Struthio camelus: one gene and its partners. The protein of the gene in region 1 purifies or fractionates together with the protein of each later gene. This does not show direct contact. Links are inferred from orthologs where the notes say so. Each region holds a gene or a part of one and is shown in the gene's direction. Other genes may lie near its edges.

Region 1 (10,456 bases):
TTTGAAAGACAGGCCAGCCAATGTCTAATGTTGGACTAATATGCAGTACCTCTTGATTATCTGCTGGTGTAAGTACTTGTGCAAATTTACAATCCAGTACAGGAAATTTATATCCCCATAGCAATAACCGCTCCGTTTCGTGCAGTAACCCACGCAGTCAACGCAGAAATTCTTAAGGAACAGTTACCTTTGGATTTTCTGTATTTAAAGATCAATAAAATGAGAGTGTGTTTATTTCCCTCTTTCGGGTTTGGTATACGACAAACAGGCGACCACTTTGGCAAGAGCACTTTGACAACTGGAAGGATACAGCGCATGCTCTCCCAAGGAATTATGGGGTTTGAAGTCTTATCTGCATATAGCTTTTCCCTGATGTCTGTGGTGAGAACAAGCGACCTGAAAGGAAGAGTGCTCGAAAAGAAAAAAATACACAAACAAACACACACACTCTCTCTCTCTCTCTCCAGGGAAAAGTGTTGCAGTCTGAATTACTAGCGCTCGGAAAATAAATAACTGTCAGACTGAGCTGGAAGTCAATAATAAAATAAGAGCTCCTAATAGTTTAATTAATTTATAAACCCAGATCAAATAGCTACCTAGTTAGAACAACAATCACTAGCCAAACTATTCTAGCACAATAAATTAATCATAACTTATACCAGCTATAGAAAGATTACAGCTATTAGAAATGAGATTGTGTCATGATTCTTAGCTGAAGAAAATATTAACCTGTCATAGTATCGTTTTTAAAAACATACTCTAAAGCTCATATACAAATAGGGCATGTAATTTTTTTAAACAAATAAAAATTAGCACATAGGCATTAATTTGTGCTATACGAATAGTTTCAGATTTCCAAATTACCACTTTTCAGTTCCTAATTATTGTTAATACCCTGGCAAACCTACAGAGGAAAAAAAAAAAAAAAAGAGTGGAAATTTTACTATTTAACATTCCATCTGCCCTGTACCCTGCAGTTCATTTTAGCTGCCTCCCTTCCAAGACCCACAATCCACATATCTCCAGCCTCTACTTCAGTACACAGCTACACAGCCTGAAAGGAATTCCTCTCATCATTCCTCTCCTCATGATTTGATGATCAATATAGGTCAGGTTGTAGCTTTCAGAATTTAGTTTACAGACATACGTGTTTGTTGTCTTATACATGAATATCTAAGTTTCTGGTTATTCCGGACCAAGCGCTTACACTTGTATGGAAGTTACATAATTGAAATCAGCAGTGTGAAAACATTAACGTTCTATAAAATTGTATGCCGATTGTTCAAAGGACGAAATATACTTTGCTTTACAGATGAAAGAGAGATGACTAAAGCCGAGAAAAAGAAATTAAGGGAGTTGAAAACAGGTTGCTGAAAAACTTATGTCTTTGCTTTCTACAGTCTGTTTATGTTGGACTGTATGGTCTGCCTGCCTTGAATCAATGCTGTAATTAAGAGTTTCTCAACACTTGCTCTGACTTGTTTGTGCTACTCTGAAGCATTAAGGGCCAGGAAAACTGCTTTCTTACAGCAGTTGAGAATTCCTCATTTATTGAAATATCCCAGATAGTACAGGGCTGGCTCTCTTCACTGAATACCGCTCCTTTATGTCCCTTTTTTATTTCTGGATTATTGCTTTTCAGATGATTTCAGGTTGCATGTGGAAGGGACCACAGCCTTGCTATCAGGTTTTTGCAGGTGACAGCTTCACTTTGCAGATTAATTATTAAGATGAGCAGAGGGCTCACTATACATCCAGAAATGGAAAAGCACTTTATAACCAAGAAAGTCAGGGCGTAAAGGCAGGTTTTTTATATTAGTAGCCACTAGAAGAAAAACAATTTTTATTCCTACCAGTTTAACTCTTCAGTAACTGAAAGTTAAAAAGATAATAAGAACAGCTATATCAGAACACGAGAGCTTCATTCAATCTGATATCTGAATTACTTGACCTGGGCAAGTTCCAAAGAAACAAATGTAAGAAAGGCCCAAATGAGCCAAGTTAACTCAATGTATTTTTATTCTCTGAAATACCTCAGTATATTCTTATTTCCTGAAATTCATTATTAAGTAATTTAAGCCTACTATGGGTAACAACCTTTGCTAGTCTTTTTACCAGAAAGTGAACATTTCAACTAGCTTGAAGGTTAAAAGAAAGCATTATGTTATTGAAAAACTGAGTTTTATTATATAAGCATCTTTCTCAGGTTAGATTTGCTTCATTTTAGTTTCACTGAGGGCTCCTTGTCTTTTCATGATGGAGTTAAGTAGATATAAAATGCCTAACTGATCTTGTCATTTATTTTATACATTGCTATCCTAGCAGTTAAAATGGAGTATTGCCTAAAGAGAATAAATACTTTCATATTGCCTGGTTACTTCACTTTGCTGAAAACAGTGAGCAATTCCGGCACACTCAGTGTCATCACATTAAAAGAACTGTATTAAGGAACTGTTACTTCATTATTCAGCCTCTTTTTCAGGCCTTGCTGAAATGATCAGGTAAACATTTAATATTAGCTCCATATTTATTCTTACATTAATTGCTTACAAACTCCTTTATTAAACTTAAATTTGAATAAGTTTGTTACCAAACAATTTAGTATTTTAAAAGATGACCTGTCAACTTATAAATCTGATAGACAAATTCAGGGCTCAATTTTTAAAGTGCTAAATCGCTTATATTATTTTTAGTGGTTTTCATCAAGTTCCATACCTGCCTTCTAAGGGAAAGTTTTATTTAAGTCAAAATAGCTGCCAGCTCCTGTTAGTATCAGTGAGGCTGAGCTCAGTCTAATCTCAGTTAGTAGCAATCATTTTCCTTCACTTGCACTGGCAAAAGGGAGTCTATTCCCAGAAGAGTTGCGTCTAACTGGGCTCAAATGCAGCTACTACCAGGTTTAGACAAGAGAGGACAGAGTGAGACAGTGCAATGAACATCTCGGAGACAGAAAGAAGGAAGAAAGAGCAATCTATTAGGGAATAATATGGGAAGCAATAATTCAAAAATTGCAAAAGCAGCAAGAGGCAACCTGAGCTTTATAGTGGAAGTTGCCAATGCAAAGTAGGAAGAATAAAGAATAAAAAGTGTAAGGAAAAGGAAGAGAAAAAGGGAGGGAAAGTGAATTGAAGTAGGAGATTGTTGGGGAGAATAAAGAAAGCATTTGAGTAGAGCAGCTGCATATCCGGTCTTGCTAGGGGGAAGAGATGAGGATGGAATGACAACTCCTGCTCTGTCAGGCAATGAGGAGGGTTCTCTCCAAGTGTAGACCCAGGTGTTTATCTATGTGTTTTCATATCACACTTTTTTCTGATGATTCTGAGATGAGCAGACAAATTGAGAATGCATACCCCTAGCTGCGCAACAAACCCTGGAACAGTATGGAGGCATAAATCAGCTTTTATATTTCACGATTTTTAAGCTATTTATAGGATGTTTTGAGGTCTGATTTTTTTTATGCTTGAAGGTTGCAAAAAATATGATGTACAAGTCTGCTAGGTGTTTACCATCTGACCTGATATTCAAGTTTTGTCCAGTCTTGTCATCCCTCCCTACATGCCAGTGGTAGAGCAAAGGAGCCTGCTTCCTCAAGACTACTCTTCAGCCTCATATAGTAGCCAAGTAATCCTGGGTTCTGGTTACATTTCTTCAGGTAAGTATTGTTCACAGCCATTATTACTGATCATGACCTCACAGCTTTATCCTAGACAGCAGGCACCTAATATATCCTTCCAACCTCCAAAACAGAAATACAGAAATTACACAAATCACATAACCGTAGGAATAAAGCCAGCCTCCCTGGTTTATGTCCGGTTTGTAACATTTGAGGATAAATATATAAAACCAAAGTATTTGTCTGATCAGTGCTCTGGTCAACAGACAACACACTAATTCCAGACCAAGATTAGAAACCAGGAACTCGGATATCTAATATTCCTCTTCTATCTCACAAACAGCTGTATGACTAATAGGCAAAGTGCGTATTGGGTTCTCTTCCAGGAAGTCATCCATGTATGGTGTATCCAGGCCACCGCATGCCCAAGACTTCTTAGCAGCGCAAGCAAAATTGAATTTTACTGTCCTCAGAGTAGGCACCAAATAAATTTTCTAGGATGTCAGTTTGACGTCTTCTTCCTTTCTCCTTCTGTACATACTTCCAATAAAATACAACTACCTCAACGTAACTACTTCAGCATTTCCGTTTATGGTACTTAGTAATTAAAAAACAAACAACCCACCCCTCCCACACCCAATCCATACATATAGCACAGCTTAAAAGTCCAAATCAAGGTGTGAAAGGATAAATGGAAAATAAGATCTGGGAAGGATAAGCTCAGACCCAAAATAATGGTGGAAGCTTAAAATAACGTACATAAACTCAGGTCTAATGCATTCTTAGTTGAGGGACTCCAACTGTGTAACCAACTTCTACATACATATTATTCTGTAATCTGACAATGCTGCAATACTTTGTTTTTTTACAACCCTTTTTACAACACCTCTCTCCCCAGAGACTCTCAGAGTGATTTTTCCATAGCTTAAGGCATCTGGGTCAGACAATTCAGGATATTCATTAAAGATCAGCTTCCTATTCTACCTTATCTCTACAGCCGTGTATACCCACCAAGCAAATGCTACTTGTCTCAACCAAAAACAGATGCATGTTGATGTGGTTGTCTGCCTGTGGGGCGGGCCTGCTAAACTACCACCTTGTGCAGTAATTGCAGTATAACCAGATTATAATTTATACAAGGTATCAGGGACTTGTTACATGTAACAAAATTCATTACAAGGCCTAGTTATTAAAAAAATATGTATATAAATCATACAACCTGAAAAGGAAAGGCCACAGTGGATCTTTACTAACCAAGCTTCCCAAGAATCTGGAATGTTTTAACTGTCTTTGGAAAGCATGACATCATCCTTTGCTGGGGGAACATGACATAACGCAGAACCTTTACATACAAGCAAATCAGCTACGCTTGGACTGAGAGGAGTGGAAGAGAGGCATCGCGCACCCGTGGTGGAGATGGAGGGACATAACTTTTCTCCAGGCACCATCTGCCTCTTTGTTCTCTAAACGCTTTTCAGATTATAAATTCCCAGTTTCTTAGGCTGTGATGCCGTATGTCAACTTTAGAACATAAGACAGATTTTAAAAGCACTTCAGAAGCTCTCCCCCGCCCCCCATTAGGAAGCACGCCTACAAACTGAAGTAACGAGTTACGGTTACCACCACGCTACCGCCCTGCCCCTCACCCCGCTCACTCCCAGAGGGGGCTCAGAGGCTGCCGGGCCTTCCCCAAGTGCCAAGGGCCACTTTACAAGAGGGCGTTTTACCTCGTCACTGCCAACACACCCACAGAAACGGGCTCATTTCCCTCCCATTGCGCCAGCCCCCGCCCTCCTCGCCAGCCCAGCCGGGGTGACCAGGCACCTGCAGGGGCCCCTTCGCCCCGGGGCTGGCCCGAGGGCCGCCGCCTGCACCTGCCGGCTGGGCGAGGCCGAGGCGGGCGGCGGCGGCGCTGCCTCCCCTCACGCGCCGGGGGGGGGGGGAGGGGCCGCGCAGGGCAACGGCCGCGCCGCGAGGCGGCGGGCGGAGGCGCGAGGGCGCTTCCCTCTCCAACGCCCACCCCGCGCGGCCCCCGGAGGAGCGGAGCGGAGCGGGCCGGGGGCACCTTCCCCCTCCCGCTCCCCTCACACGACCGCGGCCGCCCTGTCGCCACGTCCCCTACCTGCCCCGCGCGCGCGGTGCCGGCAGCGGCTACTCAGCGGCGGCAGCGAGGAGAGGCATAGGGAGGGCCGGGGAGCGCGACAGCAGGAGAGGAAAACGGGGGAGGGGGGCGCGCCCCAAGGGACCTTTAAATCTCCCGGAGGCGCCAGGACTACATTTCCCAGCGTGCTGCGGGCGCCGCGGCTTGTGCTCTGGCGCAGGCGCACCGGGGCGAGTGGGGGCGCGGAGGGGCGGGAGGTGTCGCGGCCGCCGCTTAGCTCTTACCTCACAGAGGAGTCGCCGCCTCCCCTCACGGCGGCGACGGCGGCCCAAGCTGAGAGCAGCTGCGCGCAGCCCAGCCCAGCCCCGTCCCGTCCCGTCCCGCCTGGGCGACCGGCCCCGCGCACGCCTCGTCCCCGCCTGCCGAGGGAGGGGCGGCCGCGGGAAGGCGGCTGCGCTGCGCAACGCACCGCCGCGCTGCCCTGCCCTGCCCCCTCCGCGCGCGCCCCTGCGGCCCCCCCCTCCCCTCCCCCGTTGTCAGGCGCCGGCCCGCGGCTCGGCCCGCACCTCCCCGCGCCGCGGAAGCGCGGCCTCGCGGCAGCCATGTCCGAGCAGACGGGCTTGGCCCTGCCGCAGACCATGGACAGGTACGGGGCAGCGCCGGGCCGGACACAGCGGGGAAGGAGCCTTCGCGGCTCCCGGCGGGGTGGTTGCCGTGGGGCTGGGGGAGGCGGGCGGCGGCGTGTTTCGGTGCGCCGCTTCGGGCCGCGGCCGTTGGCGGGCGGCCCAGGCACGGTGGCGACGGAGAAGGGCCTGGGCCCGGACCGCGCGTCTGGTTTCACTTTTCGGCTTCGGGAAACTTTGGTGATCCGGGCGAAGCGGTGTGAGCTCGGGCATAAAGCAGTGCAACGTGGAGCCGGGCACCGCTGTCCTCCCCCGGGTGGTGGTTTGAGTGGGAAGGGTTTCCTTCGGAAGCGTTTGGGTGGGAGGAGGTGTGTCTAGGTTGAAGCGGCTTTTTTGGAAGGGTGGTGAAGGGGCGCTAAAGGCTGTACAGCTCCTGGGGGTATAGGAGATGTTGTAGGTATAGACAGCGTTGAGATGCACGTAGGGTAAGACAGCAAAAGAGAAGGTAAGATTAACTGGCCTTGTGTATTCTGCTGTTGTTTTGTGTAAAAGCGCCTTTTGGAGCACAGCTTTAAAAAAAAAAAGTACAGACTCTTAAGATAAACTAATATGACTTAAATCTAGGTGAGGACTGATGTTTAGCTACTCTTAAGATGTCTTTACTACACATACTTATTGCTTATGCTTTTATTTGAATATGTGGCACTTTCACTCTATTCTACTGAGGGTTGAAGATTCCCAGTGTACAGTTTTGAGTCATCCAGGAAGCCCTGCAAGTCTAACCCTATAAACAGCAAATAGGAGTTGATGGCATGTTATTGCAGGAGGTATGATAGACTGGTATTTCAGAAGGTGGAGACCCAACAGGAATGAAATCTCTATTGATGAACCTGCCAAGCTTTCATCATAAGGAAGCAAAAAAAATCCCAGTGTTTTTCTTCTTTCTAGGTCACCTCTAAGGAAAGAGGATTTAGTGAAATACAGACTATCATCAGGCAAGTGATGGAAGTGTAAACTATGTGAGGCAGGGACAGAGCTGTGTACAGCCTTGAAGGTGAGGATGAGGAATTTCAGTTTAATGTAGATAGAGGATAAAAGTAAGTTGGCGGGGGGAGGGAGAGAGAGAAAGTTGATTGTCTATATTTTAGAAAAACTAGAGTAGCATGAGGAAAAACTGGATGATTTAGGTTATAATCTAGACTGATGCCTGTCAAGGAGGCTAGCAGTCAGGAGACTAAATGTCTTTGCAGGATTTGAATGGTTTTTGGAGATACTGTCAGGAAAGTATTCAGTTTGGCATATTTCCTGTGAATGTAGGGAATAAAGGGGATGGGATTTAAGAAAAATAAAAAGTGGGAAGAAGATGGTAGAATCATTTTGTAGGAAGTAAAAAAAAAAAAAATTCTTGAAAAAGATCAGGAAGAGTGTTGCTGAATCAACTTCTCTGCAACTAAAATTTTCATCTTCCTCTGAAGTGTTGTACTCTTGATGATATGCGATTTCTAGGTTTTAGAGGCCTGGGAAATGGCAATATTCTGAGTGGGTGTCCCACTGTTTATGATTATAGTATCATATCATGAAGTCCTAGTTTAGCCTGTTGGGAACTGTGAGGTAGTATTCATAATGCGTTGTGAACAGCAAGTTGATGCAACATAGTTGACACGAATTAATAAAATAGAAGCCTTTCGCTGATGCTTGCTTGCATCAGCATTTGGGACTGTGACATGCAGGAGACCGCAAAAATATAATATTTTCCATGATATTTTTGATGCTTTTTTGACTTTACGCTTTAAAAGTGTCTTTTTCTTTTTTTGTGTGTATGGTTTTCTTTCTATCCTCAAAGAGGTTCTAGAGCATTGCCTATACCAGAAAAAGTACCGTTATTGACACTATTGCAACAAATTGTATTAAAAATTATTAAAACCAAGTGTCACATTGGAAATAGTTAAAGAACAAGGTCGTGACAGACTTAGAATGAATAGTTAATAAAAAAGTGAAACTTTTTAAGTAGTCACCAAACCAGTTTACCGCTCTTTAATTCTTAGGCCAAGTGGGTATGTGGGTTTTGATGTGTATTTAATATTCTTAATCCTTTCTTTCAGCTCTGTGAAACTGCAGTGCATATACCTGGCCCTTTTCAAAGACACTTTCCAGTAAACTTAGAATAACAGATTGGATAATATACAGCAATTGAAAGCATACCTGACTTCCTGGGCAACAAGGACAGTAGAGGAAAAAGTTTTAGATAAGAGTTTTAAGCATGAAAGAAGGTGTGAAAAGAAAGACTGGAGCTTTTGTATAAGAATTTGTTGGGCTCAGTTTAAGAGACTTTAGCAGCAATAGTGTGGGAAGCAGTGAACAGAGCAGTAAGAAGGAGCCAGCTATTAAGGATTTGAATTCAGAATACAGTACAATACTGTATTCTGTACAGGCTGAGGCCTCTAAAAAGAGTCAGTGCAAGTTTTTTTTTTTTTTTTTCTGTTACCCTTTGGGTTTAGGGGAGAGGGATTACATTACTAGAAAGCAATTTTCATTCGTTTGGTATTTCTCAAAATCACATATAACTACTTTCATGTTGTACTTAGTGATCATCAAGATAAACCTTCAACATTTCCCATTAAGGGGCATAGCCTGCGGAAGGATCCTCTGTAAAGCTACTGAGAGGTTTGCAGTGCCTCTTTCTCCACCCAGTTATCTTTATTGCTAATGACAGGTTGATGTTTTCCTGAGTAGGAAAAAAAAATATGCAAAAGCTTAAAAGCAGCTGTTAGTGGATTATAATTTCACACAAACCACATACTGTTAAATCAGATTCATATCTCTGTGCAAGATGCACAAAACAGCATTTCAGTGAATAGGACTTTTTTTTAAACCAAGATTTAAGTCATTAGGAGGAAAAAAAAATAAGATTGTATTTTCTTTCTTAGTATCTAGGTGGTAACACAGAGTTGTGATTTCCTGTTGTATCAAGAGTGAGGTGTTGCTGCAGATCTGAATGTATGCGGAGTTTTGTATGCAAGAGTTGGAGTTCTCCTACCAAATTCTTTATCTATTTGTCCAAGAGAACTTCTGACTTCTCTTGACTCTTAGATTGTACGTGTGTATGACTTCTATTTTTTTTTAATAAAGCAGTTTGGATTTCTCCAGTGTAAGGGGTATCTCGATAGCACTTCAAAATTGTTGCCTAGGATTCATCATTCTTTCATATCTCTTGTGCTCTCTCTTGCTTTATTTTTACTAAACAATTTCAGTCTGGAAGCAAACAACACATTATTAACAAAGGGTTAATAGCTGTTAAGGTGGGCCTGTCAAAAGAACTGAGTTTCTTACTTGAAATATCTAGCTAGTGATTTTATACTTATCTGAAAGATGGGCTACAGCATAAATACAAGAGGCGTAAGTAGACATCACCATCAAGTTGCACCACTTTCTGGAGTTCTGTGGCCTGCAGTATTTAGGCAACTAATCTAGATGATTATCATCATCCTTTCTGGCTTCAAAACTGAGATTTCCATCCCTCTGTAACCTTCTCTTCTAGCTCACGTTTTAAATAACGGGCTAAGATAATACCCTTAAAACACTGACTTATTCTGCATGCAGAGTTCTTTGAAAAAAGACCATACTCCTGGAAAAGTGCGTGCACTTGAAGGCAGTGTTTTTTGGTCTGTGTACATAGTGAACTTTTGTTGTTTTAATCCCTTTATTCATAGGGGTTTAATGCATAAGTTATAGAATGATAGGAATTTCCATTAGAAATTGAAATTGTTTGGTGGATGTTTTTGTCTATCGTTAATATAAAAAATTACTTTTTTTTTTATGTTTTATTTAAATTTAATTACCAAATTACATGAAAATGTCTTTGGAATTATAGCTATTACTCTGTATTGAGTGCACAGAGGGAACATGACCTGAAAGCTGGTTCTAGTGAATTTGACAAATTTGAATAGGCAGTATGTATGATATACCCATTTTTATTGCACAAGCAATTGTGTCTTTTGTTCAGAAAATACCCAGAAATATTACACTGTGAATGCTATTCAATGTTTGAATTTTTACAGTGAAACTATTGTGCCTAGTATGCCAACACCACGGCCTGAATCCTCCTTGCGTTTTCAAATA
Region 2 (9,506 bases), on another chromosome or scaffold:
TGTTGGTATCGTTTCTCCGTACTGTTCTGAGTTGGCTCATTTCGGCTAGCCTGGCTGATGTTGCAGTGCTGCCTGCCATCCCCTCTAGTCCTGCAGTTTCTTTCTTGCTGTTATTTCATGTCTTAGTCTCCTACTTCTGTGTTTCAGCGGGCTTTGGAACGTTCCCTATATCAGTGGCGCTTACATGGTTAAAGCCAAAACTCTGCGATCAGAGCTTGACCAGGGAGATCTCTTCCACAGTGGAAAGCTGGATGCTGACATGGCTTTCTGCCACAACGTTCGGAATCAGGTCAGTTGAGGAGAGAGAGGCTGGCAGTGGAGGACCGCATGCCACAGTGGAGGTGACAAGATAGAGCGGTTTCAAGGCATTCGTGTCTGCCAGGCCATGGGACAGGATGCATTGGCGTTACTTGATCCTCTGCAGTCTTGGAACAGTGTGAGATTTCTGTCTTGCTGTGAAACCACCCAGAGCCAGGAACCATTAAATGCTGATCACCTTTTTGTTCTTGGACCTATTCAGGGCTGTTCTAAATGGGGACAGCAGGAGAAGAAGGAAGAAGCTCATCTTAGGGCACCTGCTCTACTCTGCTTCCATCCGTGGCTGATGAGAGGCACAGGATTGCTGGCTCTTTCAGAGCCAGAGTTGCTGGCTGCTTTCAGAGTTCCTCATATCCAGGGTGGAAACTAAAGTGAGGCCCATGGGAGAAAGAATGAGTAGATAAACAGCTTAGAGCCATCATCACTGGTCCAGTGCTTGTATTTCATAATGGCTCACCGGAATGTGAGGCCTGGAAACACGGTTTGATTGTTTCCCTTTTTCCTGCAGGGGGTTTTCATGTACTTGACAAATCGGCACCAGTTTGGACACATACTCTCTCTGGAGAATTATCAGACAACTCATCTCCACAATGACCTCTGGCAAATATTCAGCAATCCTGAGGTGAGATAACTGGCACGCTCAGCAGGCCGAGCATTGTGGGATGTGAAGATCTGATGATCAGCTTCGTTGATAAGGAAGGTCCGGGCTTTGTTGTATGATGTCTCTCAGGTGGGATGAGGAGCACAGTCACAGAATTTAAAGGGAGGGTGTTTATGTGATTTGTAACAACATCTAGATCTCCAAAGCCTGTGAAACACTGCTGCTGCAGTGCCTGGCCTTTCATTGCCTCTTTAGCCAGGCTGTACAAAAATGACTAGTTTGCTTATCTTTTAACCGCAGGACTGGAGAGAAAAGTACATCCATGAAAACTACACAGCAGCTCTGAAAGGGAAATTGGTGGAAGTGGTAAGAAAACATTGCTCTTATCCATCAGAATGGCAGATTAGCATCAGGATAATGCTTGTATTATCACCAGTCTTAGACGTAAGCAGCTCAGCACTACCTCAAAGTCTTTCAGATTCAAGGTCATGTTTCATCTGGAAGTATTTTTAGGGCCAAATCATTCTTTCAGAAGTACCTGTTCAGCTGTCTTTAAGTAGAAGCAGGGCACATGAATCAGAAGGTAAATTTCTGTCTTCAATATTGTAGTTATTTTCCACTTAATCTGACCCTATCTACCATCTGTCTGGTTTATTTCCTCTTCTCTCAAGCACCTGCCCTTGTTTCTGCTATTCTCACCTGTCCACTTTTTTCCAGCCCTGCCCAGATGTTTACTGGTTCCCCATATTCACTGAGGCTGCATGTGATGAGCTGGTGGAAGAAATGGAACATTATGGCCAGTGGTCCACAGGTGACAATACGGTAAGAAAAAGCAGGAGTTTCTTGACTTCTAGGTCACATCATTTTCCATGAGTATTTGGTGGCAATAGCGTCTCCTCTAAGATGGCCTTAGATCCAGCAGTTAAACTGGGAAAATGGAGGCAGTAGTCCTAATTTTGCTCCTGGTTAACTGTGTGATTTTGCACATGTTCTCATATGTGAATTGGTTTTTCTGAGTCCTCTGTAGTATCCTCTGAAGCTACAATGTTCAGCCCTTCTGGTAGTCTGATTGTCTGTCTTGTGGGTTTAATTAATGTTTGGAATGAGTTTTCCATCCTGAAAAGCCTCATGAAGAAATCTTATATTTAATGGTAATTACCAGAAACAAGTGTTTGTCATACCTGAAGTCCAAGGTGCCCATCCTCACGGATATTTTGATGATTCAATTTCAGGACAGCAGAATACAAGGGGGATATGAGAATGTCCCAACTATTGACATCCACATGAACCAAATTGGCTTTGAAAGAGAGTGGTATAAGTTTCTTCTGGACTATATTGCACCCATCACGGAGAAACTGTACCCAGGATACTATACCAAGGTAGGTATACCTTGGCACCTCCTACTACTGCAACTGTGTAAAGGAAAGGGCCCCTAGGATCCTCTGTCGATATGCATACTGTTTCCCAGTACGGAGGAACTGACGCTGCAGTATAACATCAGTATATGCATCAGGAAGTACACGATGTTGTGAGGACGTTCTCCTGACTTACTGGGTCTCTTCTCTCTTGGCAGTGAAATACAATTTAAATGTTACACCATGCTTGGAGCTCAGTAGCTATGGAATAATACAGCCCTGTAACGTGTGTGTTTATTTTGTTCTTCTCCCCTGCAGACTCAGTTTGAGCTAGCCTTTGTAGTTCGCTACAAACCTGATGAGCAGCCCTCTCTAGTGCCTCATCATGACGCTTCCACCTTTACCATTAACATTGCTCTGAACCGAGTTGGAATAGACTATGAGGTAAGTGCTACTGACTGGGTTAGGACAGCAGATTTTTGAATACCTGCGGCAAGAGATTCCCCAAGCACCTTCCCATGCTTTCAGAAGGGCTTCCAGGAGAAAGCAGAGATCCTTTCCCTGACCCGCTTTTACCAAACTGATGCTCTCTGGTTTTGTTTCTCCCAGGGAGGAGGCTGCCGCTTCCTGCGCTACAATTGCTCCATTCGAGCTCCACGAAAGGGTTGGACCCTTATGCATCCAGGACGCCTGACTCACTATCATGAAGGCCTTCCTACCACCAAGGGGACTCGTTATATCGCAGTGTCCTTTCTTGATCCCTAGAGCTATGCCTAACAAGAAGGACCTTTCCCTGGCCCCACTCACTGCTGACTTTGAGTGGAAGCAGGGAATGCTGCTGAGAGTCTCCAAGGCATTGATCAAAGCTATTTGGATATTGGTTTTTAATGATATTTTAAGACTCCACTACTGGAAGATCTCCCTCTCTGCAGGTAATATCTGGGAACGTTTTTGTAGAATTTGGACGGAGATTTTGTGCCTTCATTTCTGATTCTGCTCCTCATCCACTGTTTCTTGGAAATGCGATTTACTTGAAACTTCACTGCTCGGGTGGCTTTACAGAAGTGCTTTCTTGGACTGGAAATCCAGCTTTTTGGAGGCAAGTCACAAGCTCTCTCTCCAAGTAGCTGGCAGCCCATTTCCATCCACTGCATATACAGGAATGGACATTAGAGAATCATTTCTGGACACTGTTCCAAATAGAAAATCATCAGGGCGCTGGCTCCAGGAGTCATAACAGTTAAATGTAATACCAGATGAAACTCAGCAGTAAGAGCCTGAAGTTCATCTGATTCCTTACCTCTTTGCATTCATTGGAAATGTATCATGAAGTTCAAAGCGGCAGCAGTGGCCATCTAGGTGCTTCCTGTTAGCTAAAGGAAGGTCTGCTTATTATACTTTACCTCTGGGATTAGGTTGAGGAGATTAAAAAAATAGCCTCCCTATCTTCTACTACCACAGCTAGACGGGAGCCTGTATGCCCAGACAAATTCAGATCAGGTCAGTATGTGTAGATAAAATCTAAAAAAGGGAAAACTGAGAATAACTAGATCTGCCGGGAGGGCTCTACTGCTGAATCAGCTCAGCTCTATTCCATATTAAGTTTGTCAAAATCTCTAACCATCTGATAACAATCCAGAGGCACCAGTGGTTTTTGATGGCCTCACTCCAGCTCTTAGTGCTTGTTTTGATAATTTTCTTTGCATCTAACTCGAATGGGCCATCACTGGAAAACAACTGTTCTCTGGTACTTAGAGGAGATAAATTTTCAGTATTCCCGTCGCTTGAAGTTCCCCAACAAAACACTCCACTGTAGATACTTCTGCGGTGGGGTGGAGGGTGATAGAAGTGTATGATTAGAAAGCGCTATGAGATTGTGGTGGACTGATGGGTATAAAAATCTGTCTAGAATAGAGGTCACGGTTTATGCATGTTGGAGGGGGAACAGGGAGAAACGTTTTCTGCTGTCGTCTATGAGCTCTGCCTCTTAGAAACTTTTTATTTTCTGGGTCTGCCAGACTAGTACGTTTCGCAAGCAGTAAATTAATATCAGAAACTGTTCTTAGGGAGGAAAAAAAAAAAACCTCTTCCTCCTCTAAGTTATCTCTGCCTCTGGACTCTACCATCTAATTTGATTGTCAGGTGTAGAGATGCTTCGTCTAGTACTGGGCACGTTAACGCAGGCAGAACTGCTCGTAGCTTTAGGCGTGCTAAGTGTGGACGGGGAATCTTACACAGTTTGAACGGACCCCAGGAAAGCAACACAGCCCCTTTTCCGCTGCTTTCCACGTGCTTTTTAGGTCTATTCGAACGCTACACACTCATGCACACCAAAGGGAGAAAACTCCAGGCGTGGACAATCAGTTTGTAAAGTGAAAAATTAAGCTAACTAACAATTCTTGTTACTGAAATCCCGGTCAAGTGACTTGCATGCTGTTACCAAAGGAAGGGACCGCCGAGGCCTTTTAGCGAGAAGATGTTGAAAAGGTGTATGTATTTATTCAGCAGGTTTTTCCACTTATTTAGTTGTGTTTTTAATCTGCCCAGTACAGCGATGGGAATTTAATTCGGGCTCTCCTGTGCTCTGGTATTTCTCACGAGATGTACAATTTCAAGCGGGAGAATTGACATTAAACCATGACCAAACGCTGACGTGCGCAGTAGCTCTCAGTCCTGTCATGGCGCCTGCGAAGGGCGCGGCGTCGCCGCTTGCAGCTCCCGTGAGCCTTCGCGGGGGATGGGGGAGGGGCGCGGCCTGGGACTACGACTCCCGTGATGCGCCGGGAAAGCTCCCGCCGGTCGCCGGGCGATGACGTTTAGGCGCTTCCGGCGTCTCTGGTGACGATGCCGTGGGGGTAAGATGGCGGCCGTGGGGGAGAGACGGTGAAGGTGAGAGGCGGAGCGCTGCCTGACGGGAAGTGGGCGGCGGCGGGTGCTGCTCGGGGCTGGCTGCGCCGAGGCTCTCGGCCGCGCTGGGCAGCGGCCGCGGCGGGCGGGGTCTTGCCTTCCCTCAGAGGTGCGCGGCGTGGGGCGGACGCGCGCGCTTCCCGCCGTTGCCCGGCGCGTGAGGAGAGGGGAGGGGGGGGCGCGCGCGCTTCCCGCCGTTGCCCGGCGCGTGAGGGGAGGGGAGGGGGGGGCGCGCGCGCTTCCCGCCCTTGAGCGTGTGGGGGGGGGGGCACTGCCCGGCGCGCGCCGCCCGCCCTGTGAGGCCTGAGGAGACGGCGATGGCGGGCGGCGCTGGGCTACTCCAGCGCCTTATGCCCCGGCCCCTCTGCTGCTGCAGGGACGGGGGTAGGCGGGAGTCGGCGCCGCGGGAGGAGCTGCAGGACGGGGTCCGGCCGGGGAGAGGGGGGCGGCAGGAGCGGATCGTTCACGCGCGAGGCAGAGCGGCGCGGACCATGCCGGAGCTGTGAAAACGTCGCTCTCACCCTCAAAGTAAGCGGGCCGCAGGGGGGACGTCATCGCTGAGGTGGGCTGTGGGCCTGTCTGTTGGAAGAGAGAGGGAAACATGAGTTGGTATTTTTTTTTCTGGTATTGGAGTAATTTCTAATGGCAGAAAATGGGGTAAATTGTTTGTGAAAAATTGCTTTCTTTAAAATACATATTTATCTAGTTCTTGGTAGACAGCTGCCTTTTTAATTTTTTAAAACGATGGAGGCTTAGTTAAATAGCAGTTGACCCTTGGCAAGTTACCTTTATTTACTGGATTTTTCCCTGTAGCGCAATGTCCCTGTTGTTTACTCGTTCCAAGTCAATTGTTGCAGTGAAGAAGGATAAAAGACACATGGCTGAGGTAAATGCTTCTCCGCTTAAACATTTTGTCACTGCAAAGAAGAAAATCAACGGTATCTTTGAGCAGTTGGCTGCATACATCAATGAGAGCTCCTCATTCCTAGAAGGTAGGCTATATTTTTGAACTACAGCTCTGTAAGAGAGCTTTGACTATTTCAGTAATTCCCCATGCACGCACACCAAAAAAGATTCATTTAGTTAAATGGCACGGCTAGACCTGTTCTTATTTTTATTTATGCACGTGTACACCTTTGTATGCAAATATTTACGTGAAAGAGAGAAAATCATTCTACTGAGTGAAGCTCGGACTTTGTCTTAAAGCTCACTTAAGTTTATGCTTATTGTGGAACTGCATATAAAGATGTTAGCTGCCTTTTGGGGTTTTTTATGTTGTTTTGAATTTTTTTTTAAATGGAAAATTCAAAGTCGTTTAGGTTTTATGTTCTATAATCCTTTCGGTGTCACTGCTAGTGGCATGTAATGCATTCCAGTAATTGACTTTAACAGCTTAAAACCCAGGCAGCAGATTATTTAAGGAGGATGGAGTGTTTGAAATGTTGGCTCCCTTCTGTTTAAGGCACTCTTAAGGGTGTGAATCCCTATTAGAAATACAAAAGTTTCCAGCTGATAAATGCTGATGCAAAGTTGCTTCGGGACATGATTGCATGTTTCAAGGCTGCCCATGCAGCTATTTAGTTGCATGTGTTAAGTCATACAGAGGTGTTTCACTGAGTACTGAGGTGGATTACTTCTGAAATTCTGAGGCATGGTGTATTTTGACTCTTTAGAAACACACAGGAATGTGGAGCTTGACCCTGTCACCACAGAAGAGCAGGTATTGGAAGTCAAAGGTTACCTCTCAAAAGTCAGTGGCATTAGCGAAGTGCTGGCAAGGCGACACATGAAAGTGGCTTTTTTTGGAAGGTAAGTCACGTGTTCATGTTGCCTACGCTGCCATCCTCAGTACAGCAACTGGCATCTTTAGGATCAGAGCCAGTAAAAATATTTATAGAAACACGAGTGATCCAGCTTCTGAAATGCAACGTGTGGCAGAAGTCCCTGGTACTAGTCCTGTTGTAAATCGGAAAAAAAATATTGTAAAACACAATACTCAATTTGGAGAATTTCTAAGAAAATGGAGTGATCCTTTTGCAAGTTGCCTATGGCACGCAATTTGTTAATGCTTCTGGAACTGGCTAGGTTTTGAGAACTTCCTGTCTTTGATATCGGAATGAGTATACTTGAATCTCAGAAGTTCATCTATACCATTCTTTAATCTACCTTCAGGACAAGCAACGGAAAAAGCACTGTGATAAATGCCATGCTATGGGATAAAGTCCTTCCTTCAGGGATTGGACACACCACAAACTGTTTCCTGCGTGTAGAAGGAACAGATGGGCATGAAGCTTTCCTGCTTACTGAAGGCTCAGAAGAAAAGAAGAGCGTCAAGGTACAACTCTGTTAAGCCTAAGATAAAGGAGGAGAGCTCTGTCCCCATTCTTAAAAGTGGCAGAAAAGGAACAGTACAATTAAATGACTAGGAATAAATTTGGGTTCACAGTTAAGGATTTTTATCATTCAAAGAGAAGAGCTGAAGAACAGGTTTTTGGTATAAGAAGGACAGGAAGAGTAGAGCAAGCTATAGGATGCCACTTGTTCATTTTATGGATTATATGATATAGTTGTCAGTGATAGCAGGGAACTGAAGATGACCCAGAAGGTTCTTCCAAGCTTTGACTGACTGACAGAAGTCACAGCCTTCTTGAGGATTCTTCAGTAGCCTTTCTTGACAGGAAAGTGTATCAAACTTTTACCAGGTGGTTGCCTGTTGAGTAGGAGACTTGAGCACATTTTATATCTTCTGGAAATGACCTAAAGCTGTGTTTTTTGGTTTTTGTTTTTTTTTTTAAACTGTCCGTGAACAGCTCTGATGGGGAGATAATTGTGTTAACATGTCTTAGCACACAGGAAAAGTTATAAATTGTCCATCTCTTAAACAGACCGTAAACCAACTTGCTCACGCTCTTCATCAAGATGAACTTCTGGATGCTGGCAGTTTAGTCAGTGTTATGTGGCCCAATTCCAAATGTCCTCTCTTAAAGGATGACTTGGTGCTGATGGACAGGTGAGAGATATCTTTCTTTTCCTGCTTATCACAGCATTAGTACAAAAAAGTCTTCAAATACAAATGTAACAAACATAAGGAAATTGACCCTGTCTGTAATTAACAGACAGGGTTTCTCTCTACTCTTATTTCCTTTTGGTCGGCACTCTTTATCACCTCAGAACCCAGCGTAGCTCAGACGTGGGAAATGAATGCCTGAAGAGCTGGAGTGTTTTCTTTCTACTTGTTTGTGTTTAAATTGTATTTCTGATGTTTCCACAGCGTAGTAATGTCTTTTTTTCCTTTTATTGCTAGCCCTGGCATTGATGTAACCACAGAGCTGGACAGCTGGATTGACAAGTTCTGTCTAGATGCTGATGTATTTGTCCTTGTGGCAAATTCTGAATCTACATTGATGCAAACTGTATGTTCAAGTCCTCTTGTTAATGTTCGGTGAATTTGGCTAAAAGTCTAAACGTTTTGACATGTTAGTCTGAGAGGTTTTGTTCCATTTTGCCTAGGAGAAACAGTTCTTCCACAAGGTGAATGAACGCTTGTCTCGACCCAATATATTTATCTTAAATAACCGCTGGGATGCATCTGCTTCTGAACCAGAATACATGGAAGAGGTTTGTGGTGTGTTTAAAGTCCTTCTTTTTGCATGAACGTTATAGAGTCCATTTTGACTCTGCTCTTTGTGGGTAGAACCACAAGCTGTTAGATGTGGTTGTTGTACGGTTTAGATGTTAACTACTGTAATGTGGAGACTACAGAGAGTGTAGGCTAGTGGTCAGAACAGGACTCTTGACATTTCTCAGCTGGAAACCAAGAGCTTCACAGGGATCTCTTGAGGTTACCTCACTTGGATGACCTTTGGAAGATTCTATAAAACAGCGAGGAAATTTCTCTTATTCTTTTGTATTGGTAGCTTAGACCAGCAGAGGGCATCTGATAGCCTGATCTAACTGTTATGACATGGATTTAACTGCCTGCGGGGTTTATGCTTCAGGTGCGTCGGCAGCACATGGAGCGGTGTACCAGTTTCCTGGTAGATGAGCTGGGCGTGGTGGATCGAGCCCAGGCAGGGGATCGAATCTTCTTTGTGTCAGCAAAAGAAGTGCTGAATGCCAGGATTCAGAGGGCTCAAGGGATGCCAGAAGGAGGTGAGGAAAGGTAGCAGAGATTTTCCCCCTCTCCCCGCCCTCCCCTTTCTTTTTTTAAGGGAGGAAGGTAGAGAACATCTTGTCCCAAAAATGGGTAAAACGGGAGGGGGTCGGAGTATTAAGAGAGAAGCCAAAAACAAACGAGACAACTTAGCAGCAGCTCTACTGCGTTC
Region 3 (9,527 bases), on another chromosome or scaffold:
TAGTTGTTGTTGACTTCTGTATGCATGGAAGGAATTTCTGAGCTACATGTTGTTACTTTCTGTAATGTAGGTTGTGATGCTCTTTAGTATATAAATTTATGCAACTGGTGTATGTGGTAAATCAGATCTAGGGTTAAATTAAAGAAATGATAGTGATAGAACGGATGAATAAGGACAAGAAAAATCCCTATCTTATCTTTATAGGCAGATTCCACAGTCCTGCGCAAAGTCTAGATACTGATGATGATGGGAGTCCAGTGCATGCTGGGACTTCTCAGTGGAGTGGATCGCATTCAAATGTTGTGGGGATGCACTATACAGACCCCAAAAAGAAAGAGAAAGGTAAATGTAGATGCGTATTTTCAGGAGCAGCCCCTGCTTGGCTTCTGGGAAGCTGGAGAATATAGATGTTGACTTTCAATGTAGTTACGTTTTCCTTTTTTGCTTTGATGGAAGAGATGAAGGATTCAGAGTTCACGTGATTTGCTCGTTGAACACAAAGCTTACTCTGTCCAGTGAAAAATAACTGTTTTTTGCACTTGTAAGCTGATACAACTAGTTGAGAAGTTAAATATGGACCCAGGTGTTTTGCAGCGTTTTTTTTAATCTTTTGCTTTTATCTACTTCCTCTTTCAGAAAAAGCTGCTAATAATGGAATTTGCAAGGATATATGCGATTCGCCTATATTCAGTGACAGCCCTACAGAAGAAGAGAAACCCCTTGATATTCAAACTGTAGAAATTTCTACAACAGAGGTTAATGCTGTAGAAGTTCACGATATAGAAACGCAAACTGTTTCACCTGAGAAGCTAGAAGCTGAGGACCTAGAGGAAATCCCTGTTGAAACCTGTAAAATCTTTGAGAAGAACCAGGCTTTGAATATCACAGCTCAGCAGAAATGGCCTTTGCTGAGAGCCAACAGCAGTGGTTTATATAAGTGTGAGCTCTGTGAGTTTAATAGCAAGTACTTTTCTGATTTAAAGCAGCACATGATCCTGAAGCATAAAACGTGTACAGACACTCCTGTCTGTAAAGTTTGTAAGGAGAGTTTCTCCAGCAAATTGCAGCTTATTGAACACGTGAAACTACACGAGGAGGATCCATACATCTGTAAATATTGTGATTACAAAACAGTAATCTTTGAGAATCTAAGTCAGCACATAGCAGACACTCACTTCAATGACCACCTTTATTGGTGTGAGCAGTGTGATATGCAGTTCTCCTCGAGCAGTGAGTTGTACCTGCACTTCCAGGAGCACAGCTGTGACGAGCAGTATTTGTGTCAGTTCTGTGAGCATGAAACAAATGATCCAGAAGATTTGCATAGCCACGTGGTGAATGAACATGCATGTCGACTGATAGAGTTAAGCGACAGCTATAACAATAAAGAACGTGGACAGTATAGTCTCATAAACAAAATCAGCTTTGACAAGTGCAAAAACTTCTTTGTGTGCCAAGTGTGTGGCTTTAGGAGCAGGCTGCATACAAACGTCAACAGGCATGTAGCTATTGAACACACCAAAATATTCCCTCATGTTTGTGATGACTGTGGGAAGGGCTTTTCAGGTATGTTGGAATATTGCAAGCATTTAAGCTCTCACTTATCTGAAGGGATTTATTTGTGTCAATACTGTGAATATTCAACAGGACAGATTGAAGATCTTAAAACTCATTTGGATTTTAGGCATTCAGCCGATTTACCTCATAAATGTACCGATTGCTTAATGAGGTTTGGAAATGAAAAAGATCTTTTAAGTCACCTTCAGGTACATGAGACAGCTTAATTAACATTCTTTCCCTGTAATCGATTCGTTAGAATGGGAATTCTTTCCAGTCAGTCACTAAAATGTGAAGTTAAATACAATTTAACAGCGATTGTACAGTGGAAAATACTCACGCTTGCTCTTTGTATCAACAGAACACGTATGACAACTTGGCGTTGTGAATTTTCTTACTTGGGGGTTTCCGTAGGAATAATCGCATTTAGAGTGTGATGGATCAGATGCTGGGGGGAGGGACAGTGGGAGTAGTTGCCTGTTGTAATAGCTGTTCTGAAGGTCATCCTGTATTTTCATGTTTAATATTAAAGAGCTGCTTTCTTAAGAGTTTTAAAAAGAGACAAAGAGAAAGCCAACAGCTAGTTTCACGCTTAAGTAACTGTGCTTGCCATAGCGTTCACTTGCACACCGAACTCATGTTACCCTCTGCAGCAGCAGGTCAGCGTGCTTATGTCTAGCAAATTGCACTGGCCGGCCGAAGATAAGCGTAAAAATTCCCAGGCACGCAGTCTCTAAAATCATATGTTAGCCTGCATTTCCCACCCCCTGCTTTTGATAAGCTTTCAAAATTGACCTGTTTCCTTGGAGTACCTGTCCTACGTCGTGGTTTTGCTTCCTGTCTTTCTCTGTGCAGTGTTTAATTTCGACATCTGTCTGTGGAACCGCCCAGCAATACCTTCTAGTGCTTCATCAACTCCCACACGTTTACAACAGACTTCCCCTATTGTTTTTGTCTCCTTCGTTTACCTTCAGCCCTTATCTTTCTTTTGATACGTTAATGAGATGTGTGGCCTGCCTGTAGGTCGGGTCAGGTTTTAAGGCGCCATTGTAAGGGAATTTGCCAAGTGATCCAGCTGAGAATGTACGAAAAGCATGGTCTTTGCATGTAAAATCGTAATTGAGCTCTCGCTAAAAGGGTGTATGTCAGCAACCTCATTTAGAGCAAGGCTCTATTTGTTTATACTATTATAATTCGGTTACTTTGTGATTAGCTTTCTGCCGCTGGTAGTTGGAGGACAGGTATTTTAATTCTGTAAATTTTAAACTTATCCTATGTACTGGTTTAAAGCCCCGGCACAGTACATAAATTCTGTTAACTTTAATCATTTTCAAATGATTTTGCACATCACATTCAATAGTACTGTCTTTATATTATAATCTTTAAAAGTGAATTTTTAAGCTTCATCCTGTAGCTGTATTTCTGAGTGACTGATGCTTGGGCTGATAGTAAGGATGAGATCATTTAGATTGTGGTAGTTATTGGGGTGAAATTACCCCTATGTAAGTGGTGGAATTTCAATGTCTTTCTGTATTGACTGTAAACTTGTATGGAAGATTGTCTAATGCAAGCTTTGTATAAATCATGTATAAAACATTTCTTGAACAAGGAGATTTGGTGTTAGTAGCAGCAAGGTGTGTAAGGGTCTTTGCACTGGATTTTTAAAGGTAGGGATAAAAATTGGCTAAATTCAGTCAGCTTATGGAAGTTTAGTTTCTCGAGAAGTGTTTCTGCAGTCTAACATGAGCCAGTTAGCGTATGTTGCTTTGCAGGAGGCAAGACCATTTTCATCATTTGGAAATGCTGGTTTGCTACTGAATCTTCTGTGTAGTCATTGAAAAGAACAACCTGATCCCACAATGATTGTATTTTATTAATCCATTTATAGACAGTGACAGTGTCTGTAGAATTGCTAGCTTCCTATTTTGAACACGTCTATCCTGGCTGGCTTGCTATGGTAGCAATAACCTAGTTAACAAAGTAATAATAAGAACTAATTTGGATATGGAAAGTTAATTTTGCTCATCTTGGTATAATTGAGGAGGGGCGAATGCCAGTCCTCCTCTTACAAGCAGCTCCTGGTGACACACAGGTGGAACGGCACTGATGAACACTGGAGAGCAAGCCACTTTTTTTCGGAGACTGACACTAAGAAGGGGCCGCACTGTGGAAGGCACAAGAGAACACTGGGCTTTAGCGTGTCCCATCCAGGAAAGGGAGTTTTGTAGGCGCCGTGGAGCGCTGTGATGCGGAAAAGTTCCTTGACTCCTGAATAGCTTCGTGCCTCTAATTGTTGACTTACGTCCGTTTCTAATCTGTGAAATGGGAATTAAAAGAATACGTCATAGGAATGTTGTGAAGACCACTTGTTCCTAACAAAAAACCACCACGGTGTCTAATTAGCAAATATATGAAATTGAAATTTGTCTTAGGTTGAATTTTATAAATAAGAGAACAGTTTTTTTTTCTTTTAATATCTGCAGAAGGTAAATGGGAGTTTACATGAGCAGGTGGCCTCATTTTACCTTAGCAAGAACATAAATAGGATATTTGCTTCCAAATGCATGTTAAACATGACAGTGTGTGTAGTAGAAAAAACAAGTAATAAGAGTTAAGTCTGTCTAGAAGTTGGGAGGCCAAGAGGAACGGTTGTACATGTCAAGGACTATCTGTTGCTCCCCGCTGAAGGAGTTTACAAGGTAAAGGCTGTGAATTAAAGAGGAGAGGTTTGGTTTATTTACAGGAAATGCGTTAAGTGAAAGGACAGTGTTCTGAGGTGTCTGCATTAAGGTGAATTAAGACGACTTGAATGCTGCTGGTCTGATAACTGCCAGAGACTTGCATTGTCTTTATTCTTACAGCTTGAGCAATTCTCCTTGGTCTTGAATTAGAGAAATTACCTGTGGTAGTCAGAAGGGAATTATGCCCATATATTTTTTTTTTTCTCTGAGATGGTAAATAAGTGGGTCAAATTGAGTGTCTTGCTCCAGTGAAACCCGCAAGGTGCAGCTATCTGAGTAGCAGCATTCTACCTGGAAGCTTTACAGAATCACAAGACTGGCTTCAGAAATAACTTGTATTTGGTTCTTTGTCCTCAGGCTTTTGAGCCTTTAGGTTAACTGTTGTGTATTTTAGCTTCCTGGATCATGTTTGTTATTAAACAAGAGAACTTTTTATACGAAAAATTCTGCTGACTTGAAAACAAAATGAAAAACCAACGAATTATTGCAGGAACTTAGGATACAGTGCATTAGTAATTCTAAAATGATGTGTTCTCCATAATGCTTATTAAGTGCTGTAGACTTTCATGGTTTTCTGTGGTTCTCATTTTCCTGTGCTCTTTCGTGGTGATGTATCCAATATATAAATTATCAGTGCTTTTGAACTCTATAAAGTATTTTAGCGTTTGTCGTTTTAGTTAACAGCTGACTGATTAAACTGTGGTGCTGACAGTATTCAGGAATCCAAAGTCATGGTTCATGTTTTTAGATGTTTGTGACAACTTTCAAGGGCTTGGAAGCTGAGTGTTTACAATCTTAGATATGAACTGGGAGGAGCAGAAAGCTTATGAGCTGCTTATGAGCAGCGCAGGACACCGTTAGGTATAAAAGACTTTCAGTTCATTGAAGCTACGGTTTTATGTTGTGTTTTGCATCACGCAGCGCCTTGTAACAGCTGTGTCGGTCTACTTCTGGCTTTTCCAAACAGTTGCTTGGTACTTCAAGCAGCTTCTCCTCTTCCAAATGTTTGTTAATTAAAACAACAGTGTTAGCCCTACCTACTTCGGATTGCACCTAAATAAACAGCACGTCCATGAAGTGAAGCTGCCATCCCGGTAGACAAACGGCCAGGCAGCAGCCAGCGTCGGGGGTGCTCTGACAGAAAGGGCCGAGCCTCCCCATGGGCGGGAAGGGTAGAGAGCTTAAGATGGTCTCATCTCTTCACACGGTCCCGCTTGTAATTTCTGAAGGGGTGAGGAAGTCCTAGAGCTAGGCTGAAGGCGAAGGGAGGGCGTGCACTGCAGCCCGCCCGGCCGGGCTCCCCGCGCGGCAGCCTGCACCGCCACAGGCGAGCCCCCGCCTCCATTTCACAAGCACCGCGACGCCGCCGCTGCCCGCGCCCAAGATGGCGGCTCCCTCTCCCTTACGCACTTCCGGCCCGCGGTGAAAGCGACGGCTTCTGCGCTCCCGCCCAAAATGGCGGCGGAGCCGGGAGGAGGGTGAGCAGGAGACGGAAGCGGAAGCGCCGCCCGCCCGCCCGTCCCGTCGCGTCCCGTCCCGTCCCGTCCCGTCCCGTCGCGTCCCCTCCCGGCGGCGGGCAGCGGCAGCAGGAGGGAGCGGCGGCGGCCGTTGCCGGGTGACGGAGGCGCGCGCGCGCGGGGCCAGCGGGTCGCTCCGTAAGTGAGGTGCCGCCGCGCGTCCCGGCCTGGCGACCGCTGCGACACCGTCCCGCCGGTCCGGCCTGCCCTCGGCGAGCGGAGCCGCTGGCCGGGCCGGGCCTTTCCCGTGCGCTGCGCGAGGGGAGCCCGTGACCTGCGCGACGGTGTGAGGCAGCTGGCCGGGTTTTAGCAAGGGAAGGGGGGGGAAGAAAGGCTGTTGGGTTTGGAAAGGAAAACTAGAGGGTACAAAGTCTGTCGTGAGCCGCCACAGGAGTGTCTGAACGCGGCGGGGAAGGTTCTTAAAATATATATATATATATATATATATATGCTAAAAAGAGCTTTGCGGAGTGGCACGGCAGCTCGCCCTTGCCCGGCGGCGGCGGCGCCCCGAGGAGAGGCCGTTGGAGCGGGCGCGCGGCGGCGGGGGCAGACGCGTGTTGGGCTGGAAAAGGCAAAAAAGCCGCCGGCGCGGGTGTGTGGTGCCGGCACCCGGCTGGAAACTGGGGCGAAACGTTGCTCCTTAGGTAGAGTTCCAGCTGGGTAGTTTTCTAGGTGAGCTCGTGTTTGAAGATTGGCTGCAACTAACCCGGGGATTTGAAGTGCTGTGGCCGATGTTTTAAATGTTAAAGTTTATACCAGCAGGCGAAGTAGGGTGTTCTTGGTGTTGTGAGAAACCAGAGAGGAAAACTTAGTCTTCGTAGACTTGTTTTTTGTAAACCCCCCCCCCCACCGCCCCCGCCGTGACTAGGGAAAAGTAAGAGTTTGTCAGGATAATAAAATTAGTGTAAATTAACTTTTATTAGCGTTCATTGTACTTATTTTCTTAAACGTTTACTGTGTGAGACCTTGCATGACTTTTCGCTTTTGTTGGTGTCCTGAGTGTTGCAGTGACTTTTATGTAACTTTCCCGACAGTTGCACAATGGCAGAACCTGCTGTGTCTCCACTGAAACACTTTGTGCTGGCTAAAAAGACCATTACTGCTATCTTTGACCAGCTGTTGGACTATGTCACTGAAGGAGCAACTTTTGTCGAAGGTTAGTTTTCCTCTTAAACCCAAGGGCCTTGTCTGTTGCTTTGAATTCGCTTTCTGGTAGCACAGCGTGCATAATGATACACGTTAATATGCCGTACGTGTCAGCTTATTCCAGAAAAGTTGCGTTTTTTTCCTCTGAGTTGGATGCTTTCAACTTGGGCAAGCTGGAACGCTTAGGCTGGTTACATATACGAGAGGCTGGGGAATTATTTGGGCTGGTAGCCTAGCCTCCTTGCAGCGAGGGTGAAGGCTTGACCGCAGTCAGTGTTAGCAGTCGTGCAGTTTCTTCTGCACAGACAAGGGACCAGACAGGTTCTCCCAAAATTCAGTACAAAAGTCAGTCAGCTTGTCAGAGCACAACGGAGCACTGGTTACACCCTCAGAAGTGTTAGTAGTGCGGAGGAGCATGTGTTGCCAAGCCAACTTGGCTGCTCATCCCGCAGGTTAATCCTGACAGGAGGAGAGAGCCTAGCCCTGATGTGTTTTTTTTGTTTGGTTCAGTTTGTTTACAGTTGTATAATTAAAATTTAGACAGCTCTATGTTGGCACGTGAAGTACTGATAATCTGTGTCTTGTATCCTGCAGCATGTACTCTGTATGTGATTGCTTTTGTGCTATTCTTTTTGTATGTCTAGGAACATACAGGAACCCAGAGCTTGAACATGTAGCAACAGAAGATGAACTATCAAAGATACAGGCATATAAGGATAAGCTAGCAGTCATTGGTGAGGTGCTTTCACGGAGACACATGAAAGTGGCATTTTTTGGCAGGTAATGGATAAAATTATCAGAGCTTTTTTTTTTTTTTTTTTTTATTCCTTTTTCCCCTCATGCAGGACTTAGTGACCGTATTTTCTAAGTTTTATGCCCTGGCTTTAGTGTTTCCTCAAAAAATTATTGTTTAAAACATTATATATTAAAACATGTTATTTTGCTAATTGGTGCTAAATCTTTCTTTGATGCCATCTTGCTCCAACACTGTAGCTTAATTACGTACATCTTGTTACGTGTTTGTCATTGATAAACTATATAAAATAATTATTCTGCGTAGATCTGCGATTTGATTGAGGAGGGTCTAAGATTGTTGTTTTCTTCTCCAGAATGTTTATTTTAACTTGATGGTTTTGTTTGTTTTAGTATCTTTGTTTTGCTGGACTGTTGTTTATAAGAACTGTGGTTGGTGTTTGATCACAAGCAACTGTGGAAGAACTACTCTTTGGGCTGCTTTTGTTTCCACGTGTAAGCAACTGATAACAAAGTTAGAGAAACTTGCCTTGTTAATCATTAGTTTGCTATATCCCTGTGATGATTATTAGGGATGACGTATATATTACTGGCGTACACGTAAATCTGAATGAAGTTATGAAGCTATGAAGTTAGGCTCTTCTGTATCACTGACTGGGAGAAGTTCTAGTTCAGACCTTGGTACTGTTACCGCAGACTATTGCATCTTTTACATGTTTAAGTAACACTTCCAAAGTTTTGAGCGTTTTAAATTCCCTTCTGTTCCAAAAAAGATATTTTAAGAATTAGAAAGTTTTTAACTGAGGTTAGCTTTGGATCATCTAATCTTTAATTTTTTTATTTATGTATCAGGCAAATGGAGTTAAAAAGTAAGGTGTTTGTTGCACCCAAAAAATATGTTGTTACATAAAAAATTAAAATATTTTAAAGAAGTGCTGCTGGCTACTTAGACCCAAAGCAGTAAGGTTCTATGTCTCTTTGGTTGTAGCCGTGTTGTGCTTTATTTTTCAGTCTGATCTTTATGGAACAGTTTTAAGTTTTCAATGGGAAGCTTTAGTTGGGTTTTAACGTTTCCGGTTAACGTCTGCAATCCAGACGTTGTGTTCTGATGTTCTTACAGAATTTGGAGGCTGTAGAAATAGACTGGGAATCCACATTACTAAATGGGAAGTGAGATATCGAGTAATTAAGTCCTTCCGAAAGACTAAGGTTCCAGTGCTTTCAGAGGCTTACGTGCCTGGTTAGTCTGGTGTCTCTTAGTCCCATTTGCTCTGAGACCATTTGCTATTTCTATGCTTAAGGTGTTTTGTTTTGCTTTTTCCCCATGTCTTTCTCCAAAACTGATCTTCATGTTTTAATTTTAAAAATGCCCTAATAGTACTAAAGAAATGTGTACAATGATGGTCTTGCTACCTTCATTTTGCTAACAATAGTTCAGCTATTAAAAATAAACAGTAAAAGGACCTGTGATAAAGGAAGTGATTCTATCTGAGCCTTGACATTTCGCAGAGGTAAAAAAAAAAATGCGTTTACAGCTATGATTCCTGGTAAAAGTTGCTTTTGCAACGGGCAGGAGTTCAGCACAGGGAAAAGAGAACTAATTCAACTTTAACTTGGAGATCTGTCCCCAGACCAACGCAAAGTTTTGGAGCGAGACGTTGGGAATAATTTTTTAAATTATCGTATAGTGAGCACTAAACTGCTTTTCCAGGAGAAGTAGCTGAAGAAACCAAATTACGATGTATGTTCACTGCACCCTGTTGTGTAATAGTTAAGCTGCAAATCTTTATGGGTGGGGGGTAAAAGGTTA

What was found.
Region 2: the proteins of MARCHF5 (region 1) and MFN2 purify together in Homo sapiens (affinity purification with mass spectrometry; 5 studies listed by BioGRID and IntAct, counting the BioPlex papers as one, with this or other methods). This does not show direct contact. The link is inferred for Struthio camelus from reciprocal best matches to the Homo sapiens genes MARCHF5 and MFN2.
Region 3: the proteins of MARCHF5 (region 1) and MFN1 purify together in Homo sapiens (affinity purification with western blotting; 4 studies listed by BioGRID, with this or other methods). This does not show direct contact. The link is inferred for Struthio camelus from reciprocal best matches to the Homo sapiens genes MARCHF5 and MFN1.

What each region holds. Positions count from the first base shown.
Region 1 is NC_090948.1:18,852,662-18,863,117, forward strand, and holds the start of MARCHF5 (E3 ubiquitin-protein ligase MARCHF5), read left to right. Parts: upstream 1-6,033; 5' UTR 6,034-6,316; coding exon 6,317-6,360; intron 6,361-10,456. UniProt on the Homo sapiens protein: Mitochondrial E3 ubiquitin-protein ligase that plays a crucial role in the control of mitochondrial morphology by acting as a positive regulator of mitochondrial fission and as an important regulator of immune response.
Region 2 is NC_090962.1:6,947,592-6,957,097, forward strand, and holds the start of MFN2 (mitofusin-2), read left to right. Parts: upstream 1-5,099; 5' UTR 5,100-5,163; intron 5,164-5,194; exon of another isoform or gene 5,195-5,290; intron 5,291-5,545; exon of another isoform or gene 5,546-5,557; 5' UTR 5,558-5,709; intron 5,710-5,994; 5' UTR 5,995-5,998; coding exon 5,999-6,173; intron 6,174-6,854; coding exon 6,855-6,990; intron 6,991-7,353; coding exon 7,354-7,516; intron 7,517-8,066; coding exon 8,067-8,191; intron 8,192-8,485; coding exon 8,486-8,594; intron 8,595-8,691; coding exon 8,692-8,799; intron 8,800-9,179; coding exon 9,180-9,333; intron 9,334-9,506. Other genes in the region: PLOD1 (procollagen-lysine,2-oxoglutarate 5-dioxygenase 1), read left to right, coding at 148-289, 827-940, 1,220-1,285, 1,637-1,741, 2,152-2,298, 2,593-2,718, 2,884-3,039. UniProt on the Homo sapiens protein: Mitochondrial outer membrane GTPase that mediates mitochondrial clustering and fusion. Mitochondria are highly dynamic organelles, and their morphology is determined by the equilibrium between mitochondrial fusion and fission events.
Region 3 is NC_090950.1:24,791,061-24,800,587, reverse strand, and holds the start of MFN1 (mitofusin-1), read left to right. Parts: upstream 1-5,726; 5' UTR 5,727-5,753; coding exon 5,754-5,776; exon of another isoform or gene 5,777-6,101; intron 6,102-6,852; coding exon 6,853-6,974; intron 6,975-7,608; coding exon 7,609-7,744; intron 7,745-8,108; exon of another isoform or gene 8,109-8,212; intron 8,213-9,527. Other genes in the region: ZNF639 (zinc finger protein 639), read left to right, coding at 205-342, 637-1,784. UniProt on the Homo sapiens protein: Mitochondrial outer membrane GTPase that mediates mitochondrial clustering and fusion. Membrane clustering requires GTPase activity. It may involve a major rearrangement of the coiled coil domains.